Linked DNA regions of Saccharomyces cerevisiae S288C. Each later gene encodes a partner of the first gene's protein in a complex. Each region holds a gene or a part of one and is shown on either strand. Other genes may lie near its edges. The genes, in order: TFG2 and TFG1. A codon is read from its position in the direction of its gene.

Region 1 (3,683 bases):
GGTGGCGTCAGCATCGATAATAACGGCATCAACATATTTACAACTTAAAACGCTCAAGACGCGTTCCTTCATCGTCATAATGGTACTCGAGTAATCGCTTGTGGTAATACCAACAATCAATTTCTTATCGGGGTGAAGATCCATTTTCAGCTTTCTTAACTGATCAATATCCCCCATATGGAATAAGTCAAAATCCCCGTCAACATAAACACAATCTTCTGCATCGAATTTGTATCCACCATTGACCAAGACATTGTCCAAATCCCTCTGAAAGACATAACAATGTTTTGAAACGGCATCTTGGGCGACAGAATAGAAACTCAATTCCTGGGTGGTGGGATAATAATCAGGATGAGTCGGTGGCAAAGATTTTTTCGTCAATATTCTATGTATAATCTCGGTAGTACTTACGCCATATGTTCTTTTAACTACCTTGAAGCGCCCCATCTCTTTCACCAACTTATAGCAGTCTTCTCCATTAGCATCTATGGTGATATCATCACCATGAACAACATATTGGCACTGATATTTATCCATCCAATTGGGATCTGTAACATATGGCGCCGCTTCAACCACTTCCGAACACCACCTATTTGATCTAGTATGCTCATATCTTTCTGAAGAGTTCATTACTGGTGTTCCTTTGTTATGCTGAATATCTTCATCGGTATGCACACCACAGAATAGTTTACCATTTTCTTTTGAAACTGTTCGACGAGCCTGCAAAATGGCTCCCGCATGCCCATGATGTGTGAAATCAAAGCAGCCGTCTATCCAAACTTTATCCGGATCTAAGTTTACCGTCATCCAGTCAGTATATTTCAAGTCCCGATCCTGTAAAGCATTTGTCTCTGGAAAATTGAACAAAGGCTATCAACATCTGCATTCTTGCTTCTTATTTTGGCCGCATGATATCGTGCCACGCGATAACGAAAACAATAGTTCAACAATTAGGCTAAGCTATCGTGGTTGCTGGTATACCATTCTTCAAAAGTTATTAATCTTTTAATACTGGTAATCCATAATCGCGTTCTTTCATCAATCATTATGTTAGCAGCATTCCGGCCTCCTTGAATTTTCGAATGTGCACTACGAGCATGAATGCCTACGCTAGTAACACCAATAGGCCAGGCCACATTGCCGATACTGAGTTTCATATAGGACTGAACGGCTAAATTTATTTCTTTAGGTTGTTGTAAATGATAGAGAACGGTCGCAAGGGAAATAAGTAAATCCGGGGCAAGCTGGTTCCTTCGTAGTTGCAGTAGGAGTGGAAAGAGTGCTTTTTTAGTGTCTAAGAACAGCTCCGGATGATAAGCTTCCAAAGACGCCTTCCAACGAGATAATATTTCGTGAATATATAAATTACATTTCATTGACAAAAGAGGTTTTCCTTCAGTAGAACCAATTTGTGATGGATCAATGATTACAGAGATGGTTTTGTCTTGAGCTATCGCTTCTTGTATCCTTTCTGGCCGATTTTCTAATTTGCTAATGGTGGTCCTAATATCGTCACTCTGATTGTCTGACAGGTTTTCTTCATCTGTACTTTCTTGTTCTACCTGTCGCGGTGTTTCGTCTATGTTTGCGGATTCATGTGGCTGGAATTTCTCAGTGCATGGTGGCTGAACACCTTTAGAGTTGGCCAGCTCTTTCTTCTTCTTAGAAATTTCACCTTTTAAGATACTGGCTAGATCTAGGTCCATTTTATGCTCTTATTACTTGTAGAGGAAAAAACATTGAAGTTCTTTCCATTGGGGCCCTTTCCAAAGGTCGATTCTCTTCTTAACTTTTTCATCTTCCCTTGCGCGAAATGAATAAATTATCAGGCTTGAAATTAGAAGAATAAGACATATGCTGTTGGCTTCAACGCATAACGCAATATTAAGAGTAAAATAGAAGACCAACTTAACACCATGAGCAGTGGTTCAGCAGGGGCACCAGCACTTTCTAATAATTCCACGAACTCTGTCGCGAAGGAGAAATCAGGTAACATTTCCGGTGATGAGTATCTTTCGCAAGAGGAGGAAGTTTTTGACGGTAATGATATTGAGAATAATGAAACCAAAGTTTATGAAGAATCCTTAGATTTGGACTTGGAACGTAGTAATAGACAAGTCTGGTTAGTTAGATTGCCCATGTTTCTAGCAGAGAAATGGAGGGACAGAAACAACTTGCATGGCCAAGAACTGGGTAAAATTAGGATAAACAAGGATGGGAGTAAAATCACACTTCTATTGAATGAAAATGATAACGATTCTATACCGCACGAATATGATTTAGAACTTACAAAGAAAGTAGTAGAAAATGAATATGTTTTCACAGAACAAAATTTAAAGAAATATCAACAACGTAAAAAGGAGTTGGAAGCAGATCCTGAAAAGCAAAGGCAAGCTTACCTGAAGAAGCAAGAACGTGAAGAGGAACTTAAGAAGAAGCAGCAGCAGCAAAAACGTAGAAATAATAGAAAAAAGTTTAATCACAGAGTTATGACAGATAGGGATGGTAGAGATAGATATATACCATATGTGAAGACGATTCCCAAAAAAACCGCCATTGTGGGTACAGTTTGCCACGAATGTCAGGTTATGCCATCAATGAATGATCCTAATTATCACAAGATTGTTGAACAGAGAAGAAATATTGTCAAGCTTAATAATAAGGAAAGGATCACAACTTTGGATGAAACCGTTGGTGTTACGATGAGCCACACAGGTATGTCCATGAGGTCAGACAACTCGAATTTCTTGAAAGTGGGGCGTGAGAAGGCCAAGAGCAATATTAAATCTATTCGTATGCCAAAGAAGGAAATCTTGGATTACTTGTTCAAGTTATTTGATGAGTATGACTACTGGTCCTTGAAGGGGTTGAAGGAACGTACTAGGCAACCTGAAGCACATTTAAAGGAGTGTTTGGATAAAGTTGCCACTCTAGTGAAGAAGGGCCCATATGCATTCAAATACACTTTAAGGCCAGAGTATAAAAAGTTGAAAGAGGAGGAGAGAAAGGCAACCTTAGGTGAACTAGCTGATGAGCAAACAGGTTCCGCTGGAGACAATGCGCAAGGAGACGCGGAGGCTGACTTGGAAGATGAAATAGAAATGGAAGATGTCGTTTAGTTGACAATCAGATTTTCTTCATTAATTTTATATTTACGCAGTTTCTTGAGCCCTATATATACTCTTTTTAAAATTTACAGTTTTGTTTAATTTATTATGTCTCTATTAGTTTTGGCTATCTGTACATATGTATTTAGATGCATTGAAGTTCCGTAAAAGAATGCTTGCTGGAATAAGAGACTGATGGAGAACTTGCCATAACCGCGCAGATACTTTAAAGCACAAGATTGAATTTGTGCTCCATGCAGCCAATGAAAGAAACTCTGAGATTGCTGTGTGCCCTTGCACCGACCAGTGTGAACGTTGTTGTCCATATGGGGCATGCACTCATTATAGAGAAGGAGACATTGAAACATCAGATATTTGTATTAATTTGCTACTGTCCGAGGAAGGTATGATATGCACTTCATTTGCTGTACTAAATGACACTTTTCTTTTTCTAACTCTATTATTTTCTTCACTCTTCAGAGCATGAGAATTCGGTGTAGCTTTTTCTACAGTGGGCTCATCGTCATACGTTGTTGTTACTGTTGCAGTCCTGATCCACCTCCTTCTTCTTGTGTA
Region 2 (4,772 bases), 360 kb from region 1:
ACTTGTTGCCTTACATCCTGCTACCTATTGCTAGTGCTAAAGATTCTGAAATTGATGAGGAAGATATGTTCAATTTACCAGATGAACTTCAATTATTACCAGAGGACAAGGAAAGAGACCCGATTCCTGCAATTATATGCTGTCATTTAGAAAGTATTCTTTTGCTATGTACAACGCATGCTGGAAGAGAATACTTAAGAGACAAGTCCGTTTATCCACTAGTGAGGGAGCTGCATAAAAACGTTGAGAATGAAGATATTGGTGAATTATGTTACAGAATTGTTAATATGTTAATGAGAGGCGAGCCAGGTGCGGGAGCAGTGGAAGAGATGCCATCAAAGAATGCGGAAGAGGAAGAAGAGGAGGAGAGTGAAGAAGAAGAAGATGACGACGAAGAAGATGAAATTGTCGAAGTGGCCTAGGTCACTTTCAAGGACAGTTCACATAGCATAGAATTGTATAATACAGAAATAACAATATATTAGAGTTTAGTAGAATTCTGAGTCTTTTCTCAAAAAAAAGGCAGAAAAAAAGACTAGATAAAAAAGTATACTTACTGCAACTAAAATGACAGTATAATGTAACTACATAAGATTAAATGGAAAGAAAAAGGAAAGAATGAAAAGAACGAAAACTAAATAACCTATTAAGTACATAACATTATAAACTAACCTACTCTTTCTTTAATTCCATGTGGTCATTGCCAACCTTTCGACACAATTTTTTTACAATGGCAAACATTAGCTTTTTATTCTCTGCGCCAGGATATTTTCTTCTGATGAACTTTCCAAACTCTTTGATATTGACTTTGCCATCACCAATAGCCTCGATGATATCTTTTTCTGTTATTGTAGGCGCTGGAGTTTCTTCCCTTTCTGCCACTGTAGAATTCAAGCCTTCCTCTTGTTTGATTGGCGAAGGCACTGTATTCGATGCATTATTACTACTATCTACAGCTTTTGTCGTCTGTGGATTCCATTCTCCCTCTGGGAAGCTTTTCAGTATTTTCTTATCCCCCTTCAAGATAATGACACAGTTTTTAATACTTTTCACCCTCAAAGTTGGCTCTTTATGCACATGCGCATTTGTAGCTTTCTTTTGCTGTTTCTTTGGAGAAGATCTCTTGGATTTGGATAGAGTGTCCGAATCTTCTTCCTTTTTAACGGGCGATTCATTCTCTTTGTTTTCAATATCGGATTCAGATAAGTATGGGTTGATCTCATTTTCATCCGATGAGTATAGTGCTGCAAGTTCTGTCTTTTGTAATGCCTTCTTAATTCTTTCACCATCCTCATCAATCTTCTTTTCCCCAAATAACTCATCTTCTTCGTTTTCGGAAGGAGCTTCTTCATCACGAAGCCCCATCGCATTAGCTTGCAGCATCTCCTTCTTGATTCTTTGTTCTGATTCTTTATTTTCTTGTTCATTACCATCTATAATAGGTGCCTCCTCATCATCGGCAAACTCTTCATCATAATCTAACTCTACTTCTGAATTGTCATCACGATCATCTTCATCCATAGCTTGTTGATCAGCGACGGCTTTAAGCTTTCTTCTTGTTCTGTCATATCTAGTTGTAGTTGTACCTATATTATCCAAATGCTTCATCAACCAACGTGGCACTTCACCACTTTTTTTGTCCATTCTTTTTTCTGCTTCGTCAATGGTCAAAGTAGCATATTTATTTCTTGCGGTAAACTTATAAACCTTATCAGCAGGAATCATGGTAAAACTTCCATCATCTTCTACACTTAACAAGACATAAGAATCTGAGTTACCTGCTTCATAAGAACCCACCCATGTATTGTACCCATCAAAATCTTCCATAACCCATGGATAAAATTCCTCAAATCTCAGCTTTTTGGCGTTCTCATCAAGAACTTTTAATTGACGAGTTTTCCTTCTCAAATTTCCTCGTTTGGCCCTACCGCCTCCATCTGGTGCCACATCTGCTAGTGGATCCATAGTTCCTTCTTCAAATTCCGGTTCGTTAGTCACTTCTTTTCCGTCGTACTTGACCATTCCAACTTTAGTAGGGTCTTCAGCTGGGCCTGCATCCTCTAGTTTTGTCACTAACGGCCTTCCGTTAGCTAGATTCGCTGTAGATGCATTGCCATCCAAACCGTTAGCTGCACTAGTTGAACCATTTGACAGTCCATTACTTTCAACGGCGGATACAGTAGTAGGACTAGCAGGAGGGACAGAAGAGCCAGTTACAGTAGGAATGGAGGAGTTCACACCGTTGGCCGTGTTGTCTTTAGTAACTGAATCAACAGTAGGTGTCTGAGACCCATCTTTAACAGTATTATTGAGCGAGACCGTTCCTGATTTATTCATACCACCCGAGTTAGGAGTACTTCTTTCTTGCTCTGCTTTTTTTTTATACTCAGAAATTTCTTTTTGCCTTTGAACAATTTCTGCTCTTGTTAGCTGAAACTGCAAGTTTCTCGTATCCTTCCTATGCAGTCTTACGGGAAGATGGAAGTCTGTTACAGGGTTTATCTTTTTTTTACTCTGAAACTTCAAAAGATGTGTCCTCATGTTTTCTAAATCCTCCTTTGGAATAGCTCTTAAGGGAAATTCATTATATTCATTAGGATCTTCGTCCTTTACTTTAACATTGCTCCTGCCAGCATCGGCCTCGACACCGATTTGCAAAAGCATTTTCTCTCTCTCTTCAGCATACTCAGGATCATCCTTTTTGACAAGAGATCCCCTGCTGTTGTCTCCATTTGGTACGCCTGGGGAACTAGAATTGCTGCCGTTTTGACCCATTCTCATCCTCAGGAAATTTCTTCTCATTCTGTCTCTTTTAATGAAGGGAGAGGCATTCGTCGGACCTCCCCCGTTTCTACTGCCTGGTGGATTGCGTCTGGACATCCTTGCGCTTACTCGAATAGGCCTCCCTAGCTATTCTTCAACCTTTCGAACCATCCATACTTCTTACTATCATAATTTTTATTTTATCATGGAGGCGAGAAGGTCCTTATTCGAGCATCACTAAGAACGGAACTCGAACATTTACAAAGTAGAAAAATTTTATGAAAATTAATTGTTCTTTCTTCAGAATACAAATTAGTCATTGTCAAAAAGAGATTAGCATCCATAACCGCATACTCTAATTGACGATAACATGTCCTCTGCTGCCACGGTTGACCCTAATGAGGCGTTCGGTCTCATTACCAAGAACTTGCAAGAAGTCTTGAACCCACAAATCATCAAAGATGTTCTCGAAGTACAAAAGAGACATTTGAAATTATACTGGGGTACCGCGCCCACTGGAAGACCTCATTGTGGTTATTTTGTTCCTATGACCAAGCTTGCTGATTTCTTGAAAGCAGGTTGTGAAGTGACTGTTCTTTTAGCAGACTTGCACGCCTTTTTGGACAACATGAAGGCGCCATTGGAAGTGGTGAACTATAGGGCCAAATACTATGAATTGACCATCAAAGCTATCTTGAGAAGCATCAATGTTCCAATTGAAAAGCTAAAATTTGTTGTTGGCTCTTCTTACCAGCTAACTCCAGACTATACCATGGATATCTTTAGATTATCCAACATTGTTTCACAAAACGATGCTAAAAGGGCAGGCGCTGATGTTGTCAAGCAAGTCGCCAATCCATTATTGAGTGGGCTTATCTATCCTTTAATGCAAGCGTTGGACGAACAATTCTTAGATGTTGATTGCCAATTTGGTGGTGTCGACCAGAGAAAAATTTTTGTCTTAGCGGAAGAAAATTTACCAAGTTTGGGCTACAAGAAAAGAGCACATTTAATGAACCCTATGGTTCCAGGTTTGGCTCAAGGTGGTAAAATGTCTGCCTCTGATCCGAATTCAAAAATCGACCTTTTGGAAGAACCAAAGCAAGTTAAGAAAAAGATCAATAGTGCATTTTGTAGCCCCGGTAACGTCGAAGAGAATGGTTTACTGTCATTTGTCCAATATGTCATTGCACCAATCCAAGAATTGAAGTTTGGTACAAATCACTTCGAATTCTTCATTGATAGACCAGAAAAGTTCGGTGGTCCAATTACCTACAAATCCTTCGAAGAAATGAAATTGGCTTTTAAAGAAGAAAAATTGTCCCCACCTGATCTAAAAATTGGTGTTGCTGACGCTATCAACGAGCTATTGGAGCCAATCAGACAAGAATTTGCCAACAACAAGGAATTTCAAGAGGCCTCCGAAAAGGGTTATCCAGTTGCCACACCACAAAAGTCGAAAAAGGCTAAGAAACCAAAGAATAAGGGTACTAAGTACCCAGGCGCTACTAAGACCAACGAGATTGCCACGAAACTAGAGGAAACCAAATTGTAAGCATAGCTTAATCCGTTTTCACGATTCATAATATAATAAATAAGAAAAGATATATCATATAAACGTTATAAAATTAATAACCGGGTAAGTGTAGAAAAGTGATGCGACGGTTTATTTTCTCTTCCTCTTGCGATTGAATTTAACTTGCAGATAGTGACCATAAGGCAACTACCCAGTGGCAAACAGTTTTGATAACGCCCAGTACATCAACGAGCGAGTATAAAGACTTTGGTACATTTTAAAAAGGAAACATATATTGTTTTCATTGCTAGACCCTTTTAGTCTCACCTCAATAAAACTGCTTTATTCCTCATTGGGCTTTTTATTCTTTAATTTTGCATACTTATAGCGTGAAACTGGGCATTTAACAAAAGCAAACTATTTTAATAGTAGCATCCTGCTTTCTTTGCCCCTCCTTCTTATTGCGATACATTATTAAGTTTTTTTACCACCT

The links.
Region 2: the proteins of TFG2 (region 1) and TFG1 are in contact, whole or in part, in a cryo-EM structure (PDB 7UI9), measured with the Saccharomyces cerevisiae proteins. Residues at the interface, in NP_011519.3 of Saccharomyces cerevisiae: Leu57 (codon at 2,085), Asp58 (codon at 2,088), Leu59 (codon at 2,091), Leu61 (codon at 2,097), Arg66 (codon at 2,112), Gln67 (codon at 2,115), Val68 (codon at 2,118), Trp69 (codon at 2,121), Leu70 (codon at 2,124), Val71 (codon at 2,127), Arg72 (codon at 2,130), Leu73 (codon at 2,133), Met75 (codon at 2,139), Ala78 (codon at 2,148), Trp81 (codon at 2,157), Arg82 (codon at 2,160), Arg84 (codon at 2,166), Asn85 (codon at 2,169), Asn86 (codon at 2,172), Leu87 (codon at 2,175), His88 (codon at 2,178), Gly89 (codon at 2,181), Gln90 (codon at 2,184), Glu91 (codon at 2,187), Leu92 (codon at 2,190), Gly93 (codon at 2,193), Lys94 (codon at 2,196), Ile95 (codon at 2,199), Arg96 (codon at 2,202), Ile97 (codon at 2,205); in NP_011702.1 of Saccharomyces cerevisiae: Pro95 (codon at 2,598), Asn96 (codon at 2,595), Glu97 (codon at 2,592), Tyr98 (codon at 2,589), Asn99 (codon at 2,586), Glu100 (codon at 2,583), Phe101 (codon at 2,580), Pro102 (codon at 2,577), Leu103 (codon at 2,574), Arg104 (codon at 2,571), Ala105 (codon at 2,568), Ile106 (codon at 2,565), Pro107 (codon at 2,562), Lys108 (codon at 2,559), Glu109 (codon at 2,556), Leu111 (codon at 2,550), Asn113 (codon at 2,544), Met114 (codon at 2,541), Arg115 (codon at 2,538), Thr116 (codon at 2,535), His117 (codon at 2,532), Leu119 (codon at 2,526), Lys120 (codon at 2,523), Phe121 (codon at 2,520), Lys125 (codon at 2,508), Lys126 (codon at 2,505), Ile127 (codon at 2,502), Asn128 (codon at 2,499), Pro129 (codon at 2,496), Val130 (codon at 2,493).

Annotation. Positions count from the first base shown.
Region 1 is NC_001139.9:504,093-507,775, reverse strand, and holds TFG2 (transcription factor IIF subunit TFG2), read left to right. Parts: upstream 1-1,916; coding exon 1,917-3,119; downstream 3,120-3,683. Other genes in the region: ECT1 (ethanolamine-phosphate cytidylyltransferase), read right to left, coding at 1-807; mRNA splicing protein PRP18, read right to left, coding at 951-1,706; PEX31 (peroxisome biogenesis protein), read right to left, coding at 3,450-3,683. UniProt on the Saccharomyces cerevisiae protein: TFIIF is a general transcription initiation factor that binds to RNA polymerase II.
Region 2 is NC_001139.9:865,882-870,653, reverse strand, and holds TFG1 (transcription factor IIF subunit TFG1), read right to left. Parts: upstream 2,881-4,772; coding exon 673-2,880; downstream 1-672. Other genes in the region: HGH1 (Hgh1p), read left to right, coding at 1-422; tyrosine--tRNA ligase TYS1, read left to right, coding at 3,134-4,318. UniProt on the Saccharomyces cerevisiae protein: TFIIF is a general transcription initiation factor that binds to RNA polymerase II.